2 linked regions of the Caenorhabditis elegans genome follow. The protein of the gene in region 1 interacts with the protein of each later gene in a pairwise test. Each region holds a gene or a part of one and is shown on either strand. Other genes may lie near its edges.

Evidence for each region. The genes of interacting proteins can lie anywhere in the genome.
Region 2: the proteins of lin-2 (region 1) and rnp-8 interact in a two-hybrid assay, tested with the Caenorhabditis elegans proteins (3 studies listed by BioGRID).

Annotation. Positions count from the first base shown.
Region 1 is NC_003284.9:12,412,440-12,416,194, reverse strand, and holds the start of lin-2 (Protein lin-2), read left to right. Parts: upstream 1-2,153; 5' UTR 2,154-2,169; coding exon 2,170-2,243; intron 2,244-2,294; coding exon 2,295-2,407; intron 2,408-3,209; coding exon 3,210-3,393; intron 3,394-3,755. UniProt on the Caenorhabditis elegans protein: May play a structural role in the induction of the vulva. May be required for the localization of signal transduction molecules (such as let-23 receptor) to either the basal membrane domain or the cell junctions.
Region 2 is NC_003279.8:362,627-366,381, reverse strand, and holds the start of rnp-8 (RRM domain-containing protein), read right to left. Parts: upstream 1,873-3,755; 5' UTR 1,864-1,872; coding exon 1,703-1,863; intron 1,647-1,702; coding exon 1,191-1,646; intron 852-1,190; coding exon 786-851; exon of another isoform or gene 739-785; coding exon 422-738; intron 1-421.

The DNA of each region.
Region 1 (3,755 bases):
AAAATGCCAACAACTTACCGGAAGCCAAAAAATTGGTGCTCTTCCACAATTCTTTCTTCTTCCTCTCACTTTCCATCGACTCCATCAAGACGGAGCTGTATCATCCAATGAATTGTTTTGCATCGTCCGTGCATCATAGAAACAGGTGTTCATCGTGTTTATCTTGCAAACTCACCCAACCGACACTCATAAAACTGTGTATCTCTGGAGACTGGGAGAGATAACATCCACTTTCTACTCTTTGTCGAGCCTCTTTCATCCAGTTTTTTTCCGGTGTCAAAAAAAACTTCATATTTTCTTTTTTTTCATATTTATTCGTTTTTTCTTTCTGCTTTGAGATTTTGTCATATCTTACAAATCCAAGAAAAAAAAAAGAAAAATGTAATATCTTTCCTTCATCCCTTCCTTTTTATGTAGTTATTTATGTCTTCTTCTTTAATTAAATTTGTTTTTTCTTCTTATTTCCCATTATTTTGCTAACACCTTATTTGTTGAATATTCGATGGAGAGACTAATAATTGAACATTTTTGCATCCCAATTTTTCACAAAGCTAATATTTCGCGGTTTTTGATAGTTGTTTAAGACTGGGATGTATAGTTGGTGTTTCAATTTTGTCTACTCAGTTTTTTTTTCAATTTAAAATTGTTTTTGAAACAAAAACGTAAAAACCATTACATAAAAGTTTATAAGTAATTTAAAAGTTCCATTAAAAACAAAAAATAACCATGGTATAATCAGAGTATACATATATTGGGCATTTCAGAAGCAATAACTTCCAAATAACTTCAATGTGAACTGGAATATATGTAGTGACAAAATGCGAAATACTTAAATTGTGTAAGAGTTTAGTGTATACAGATTAAAATAAACTGACAAACTAAAAAAAAATTATAAAAGTATATATATATATGTCAAAAATTTGAGACTAGTAGTAACCTTAACAGTAAACATATTTTCAGCATGTTTTTGGTATAGCTCTGCACAAAATGGTAGTTTTATGAAATTATTGTGCTCAATGTTATTTCCTTGAAATAAATCTCGATTATTTTTTGAATAGTTACACTTTTTGGTTGAAGTTATTGCACCAAATGGAAATGAATTTTTCAAAAAGTTTTAAGTAGACGTATGAAACGGAAATAAAAAGAGTATGCAGAAAAAGATGCAAACCGAAATTGTTTGAAAAAAAAAACTTTAAAAAATGGCTTTGTTAGCCTTAAAGGAGTTATTGTTTTGAGCATTAGAATTAGATCCCAAGTCATTTGAGAACGTAGGAAAATCAAAATGTAGGTTTCTCTATGTAATTGATCGTAGTAAAACCCATGCACGTAATTGCTTCTATTACATTACATTACGATTTTCATATCAAATAATTTTTTTTCAGCATCTCTCAAACTTAAAGTTTAGTGTTTTGAAAAGATTTCAAATCTGTTTACTGTTTTTGTTACAAATACATCTGGCTAACCCGCCAACTTTGAATAAACACGATACTATTCCGGCAAATTCAGGAATGTTTGCTAAATGACAAATACAGCCGCGTTTCAATAGGAAACTAGAGGTGGAAAAGATGAAAAGTGTCCATATTTGTCTTGATTTCCTCTGCCATGCCGCAATCAAACTTTCTTTCACATAGTTGTTCTGCTTCAATAATTTAAGATTGGATGGTTTGATTTTGCATTTTGCAGAAAATATTATGTTATAAACAAGAAAAAATCCTAAGTTTAACGATTTCCGTCCCCCACGCACTCAAGTTCATTAAAATTAATGACGTAATGCTTACCTCTTTTTATAAGACCGCAACATGAGATTTTCCATCAGACAAGTACCACCTCAAATCCTCAATTTTTTAGTTCTCGAAAGAATGTTGCGGGGTTGATAAAACATGAATCTCTCTTGCAATCATTTATTGACATTATATCTCCTCCTAACGATCAAATCAAATTGGCCGAAAGAAAACGCGTAGAGCCCCCCCCCCCCCCCCCGCCGCCGACCCAAAAAACTGCCATTTTCTCTCCAGTCTCTCTATTTCAATATTCATGCGAGCCTGATATGCTTTTTCAATTTAATAATCATTCACTGTCCCTATGAGTTTTTTTCTGGTTATCTCTTTTTTTTCTTCAACTTTATCATTTGTTTATTCACGTTTATCAGCATTTTTCAGCTAAAACAGAATGAGGGAGCTTGACCCGGACGAGTCGAACCTTCTCCTCGATGAACAACTGTCGATCCGGGATGTGATAGAACAGTAAGATTTTTGAAAATTCAGTTAATTCTTGAAATAACTAAGAATTTCCAGAGGTCCATTTTCAAATGTATACCGAATACTTCATGGACCATCAAATCGAAAATTTTTACTGAGATCAATCAATTTGAATTTGTTCAGACAGCACACCGGGTTAGGATTTGAAGGTACAATTATTGTTATACAGTTGTTACATGGGGTACGACTACATGTAGTAGTCGTATTCCAAAAAAATTCTACGCACCTACTAAAATGATTTGTTCAATTCAAAAGTTGAAGCAGTGTACTTTTGTAGTAGCTGTAGTTGCTCTACTATACAAGTATCAAAAATAGTTTTCTCCCATTTTGATAAAGTCTTTTTTTAATTTTGGTTTTTTGTCTTTACAAAAATTGATAGGTTTTTGTAATGTTAATCGATCTAGTGATGAACTAATATCTTTCGAAAGGAGGCTCAAATGCAGTTAAAAAAAAGTTAATTAGAATAAAAATATCCAATTTCATTGGTTTTCATCCAAATACCATTGAGACCGTTAAAGAAAAGTTTCAACATTTTAAAAACAGGAAGTCATCGTTTCAACACACTGTCTCACAAAAGACTGAATTATTAGTTTTTGATGTTTTTTTTCGAATTGAACAAATTCAGGTGGTTAATACACTTTTTTTTTAAAGTTATGTTTTGACCTTTATTGTGGATTTTGAAGAATAAAAAATTTCTCAAAAAACAACCTGAGTGCACTTTTAAAAATTGAGAAAAAAAAAGTCCCCGCAGCGGATATTATTATTCTCGCCACCAGTTTTCCAATCAGAAGCGCACAAAATGTCCTCAAAGTTCTCATCTCATGAGCTCAGCAGCTCCAATCCCAATTCATCAATCAATCTATCAGCCATCATGTGTCATTTCGAACTTTGATCATTTTACCGAATCCGATCTAAATATAATTATTTCATTCCAAACCATCTCTTTTTCAGAAATCGACGAGGAAATTAGAATATGCCAAAATCTACAGCACCCTTACATATGCCGACTGGAAAAAACTATCAACAGCGTTCATTATCGACATATCATTTTTGAGAACATGGAGGGAAATGATATTTGTTTTGAAATAGTTCAAAGAGCAAGTAATGGATTCGTATTTTCTGAATATGTAGTAAGGTTTGTATTTTTACAATATAGACTGTGTGTCACGGCGTGTAAATTGGGACATCTGGCCTAGCGAAAAGTGAAAAGTGAGAATCCTAGGCCATGGCCGCTGCAAAGCGCGCGAAATTTGAATTTAAATTTTTAATATCATTGAAATTCGATGAATGAGACATTATAATGGATAAAACTGCAAAAATATATACAAAATTGTTTTTAAAATGGATAAATCACATATAACAACGATTATTTTCCTAAATAAAAGTGGAAATTCGATTTATTAGGCAATTATTAGGAAAATTCGACAAAAATGGCACATTTTTGAACTTTTTTCAAAAACTAGATCCACAAATTTTCTGAAATTTCACCAGATTACT
Region 2 (3,755 bases), on another chromosome or scaffold:
AATACACCGAGGGGTCGAGCCAGAAACTCGCTGGAAAACTGAAAAAGCACGAAAGAAGTTAAATAAATGGAAAGCTCTCGTAAATCTACACGAAGCAAGCACGCTCCAATGAGAAATTCTTCGGGCGCGCATTTGAAAAAGTGATTAGCACACGAGAAGTCGAAAATCAAGAATTTTAAGTAAAAAATACCAAATTGTCTGCAAAAAAATGGTCAATTGCTGAGTATACTAGCTGCGTAAATCGATGAATTGACGTTTTTCGAGAAAAATATCCAAAAACTTGCAATTTCACGTGAAAATCGAAAAAATTATAGCAATTTTTCAGAAAAATTGAAATATCGCCAATTTTCGCGTGAAACACTATTTCGGGCGTATTTTCGAGAAAATTTGTTTTTTTCCCAAAATCTCCAAAAAATATTACTAGATTTTGAAGCATAAACAACTGGCGACGATGTTCTCGGGTATTGCTCATAGAAAAGCGATGGATTGATAACCGAAAGGTTCGGACGCTTCTTCTTGGCCACCTCATCCGCGTTTTGCTCCGATTGTTGTCTCTGAGCTATCTGAGCCAAAAACTGTTGTGGGGACAGCTTCTGTCCTGTGGTTGCTGCTCCGCCGCCGGCGTGGTGGTGGTCATCTTTCTTAATCTGCAGCTCCATTTTCCACGTTGGCGGGCCATGCTTTTGATCTTTTGCTGAATTCGTACGAGAACGAGATGTGCTTGTGGATTCACAAGGTCTGAAAAAAAAACCAATTTATTGATTTTCAAAATAATTCAAAAATACTTTTGATAATTAGCGAACGGATCCGTGGGGGTGCTCGAGCGAATCAGGTTGGCAAGGTTGTCGAATCTGAATTTTAAAAATTAGTTTTCTTTTTGCTTAAACAGATTAAAATAGACTGAAATTCGAAATTTCGCCGATTTTTCCTTTTCGCAGCAGCTGGAACACTTTGTTGCATATTCTGGTCATATTTCAACAAAAAATAGTGTAAAAATATAGAAAATCACTTGATTCGTCTGAAAATAAAATCTAGTACATCTAAAACATTCTAGAACATATATGGTGGAAAAATATTGATTTGCCGAAAATAATTGCCTGAAATGTGCCTAAATCAAGAAAAAACTGCTGCGCTACGGGAAAAGTCGGCGAAATTTCAGATTTTTTAGCGAAATTTGGCGAATTTTGCACCTTTTGGCTCCTTCCACATAGTCATCAAAGCGAAAATCGATGGGATTGAAGCCCGAATACTGCTGCACTGGATGATTATCGAACAGAGTCATTCCCGGGTACGTTTCGTTCGGATACTTGTTCTGATTGTACTGATTGTATCCACCGGCGGAACGTCGGCGTCCATAGCCCCCGCCGCCACCATTGAAACAGCCCGTCGAGTTTCGATGACCACGTGGATTCGGTGGAAGGTATGATGAAGCCTGTGGGTTCTGGTTTCGGTACTCGGGGAACGAGTGCTCTTGACGATACGAAGAATTCCCGGAATTTCCCTGATGTTTGACCTTCTCGAACATCGTTGAGATGGCCTCGCTGTTCGCGTGCGAACTTTCTCGCAGTGGACGAATGTGCAGCTGACGGCCGTGAAGAGTTGTTCCTTGAAAGTTTACGAGCACCTGATACAGGCCTTGAACAGTTCTGAAAATAGGAAAATTAGAGATTTAGATGAGGAAAAATGGAAAAAAAATGCCAACTTGAAAACAATGAGCGCGTGACGGGCGGCTCCATTGCGAACGATGACCTTCTCGACGTGAGCGACACGATTGAACACCTCGAACAGTTCTATGTCGGAGATTGTCGGCTGAAGACCCGAAACGTAGGCGGTTCGGTCGCAGCGATCCGCTTGACCATTCATCCCTGCAAAATGATGCAATTTTCTAAATTTTTGTTGGTTTTTTAACAAAATTTTCGTTGAAAATACGGAAATAATGCAATTTGTCGGTGGGAACTAGAAAAAATGGCCAAAATTACCGCAAAAATCGTTTAAAAAACATGAGAACTGGTCGCACAAATTCGAAAAATGAAAATAAGCGCGCACTCTTACCGTACTTGTTACATTCGGTGTGAGACCCAAACAAAAGTTTGATGCACGCGCCTTGAAATTTAAGCATTTAATTTTCAATGTTTATTCAATTTTTAATTGTTTTAAATTATTATCTTGTAGAATTTTTTGCTCAAAAGGTATAACGGTTAATTTTCTGTTTTTTTAAGTTAAAAAAATCAAATTAAATTCTGCGACTTTCCGCGGAAAACAAGAATATTTTCAAATACCGTATGTTTTCTGTTCGCTTCGAGACCCTGGCTTAAGTGAATTGCATGCGCCTTGAATACCTTTACGCTTGTTTTTTTCTCAAAATATTATGAAAAACAGATTTTTCAACCAAATTTCCTGAAAAAAATGTGAATTTTCAGCGTTTGGTTGTCGAAAATTTGAAATATATTCCATGAAAATTAATTTTTTTCCAGATAACGATGATTATAACGATAATTCCCTTTCTTCTTGTTTTTCTACCGGGTAAACACTGCGGAGATCTCGAAATTTCGGAAAGGGAGCGGCAAGGTATTCAAATGTTGGAGCAGATTAAGGGTCAGCGCTTGACAGGTATTTTTAAATTAAATTTCTTCACTAAATTTACTAAATTTAAATAAAAATTTCCAGCTGGACATCCACAATTCTTCGATCGAAATCTGGAACTTAATGCGAGTTTTCCTGCGTATAGTTAGTTTATATAATAATTTTTTTCTACTTTAATATTAAAAATAATTTCAGTCTACGGAAAGGACTCCATAAACCTGTGGATTCACTGGATGAGCTCACTACCACCGCTCCTTAACTGCTATCTTATCGTCGATGGGCTTCTCAGCGGCGAAATCGCTTCTACGGATCTGACGAATCAGCTATTAGATCGGGATATCGATTTTGATAGGATTTCAAGTTTCTACAAAACAAAATCTATTGGCGGATGGGATGAGCAGAGAGCTTTCGAGGAGATTGTCGGGAAAAGGAAGAACACTAAAGTTTATAAGGATAGAGAAGAAGCTGTAAATTTACTTAAGAAGCTCCCACATCTTCAACTACAGCGAGAATCACTGAAAAAGATCACCACCTCGCTGGATGCTTTTTTGCATTTATTTCATGATCTCCAATCTCTCATGAAACCAAAATACGGATGGGAGGCAACATGGGGCCTGAAAAATCGCCTGAAAAATTTCCGTGATTTTCTCTCGCCACTCAATGATCTAGCTCCCAGTCCTACTGCGATTTCCGAGGAGAATTTGCAAAAACTGAAAAAATGGTTTGAAGGTAGATTTTAATTAGAGGAATTTTTGTCTTAAAGTAAAGTTCAGCTATTAATATATAATAACAAAAAAATTGATCAGAATTTTAGTAAACACATTTTTCAAATTTAAATGTATTTTTCTCAAAAAACTTGTATAAATGTACATGCAAAAGCATTCCACATGTTTTTATTTTATAAGTTAAAAAATTAATTTTTAAAATGGACGTGGTTTGACTTTTAAACAAGTTTTACATTTAAAAAAAAGCTGTTGTACAAAAGCTGCTGTTTTGATTTCCGAAATCTAGGAAATATTTTCAAATAACTAAAAAAAATTCCTCTGATTCAGAATATCTGTATGAAAAAAAAACAAAAAAATTTCCCTGATATTATATTTCAGCTTAAATTCGTGAATATTATTTGCGTCCGAATGAGTTTTTTCAAATGCGCGCACAAATAAATTTAAATT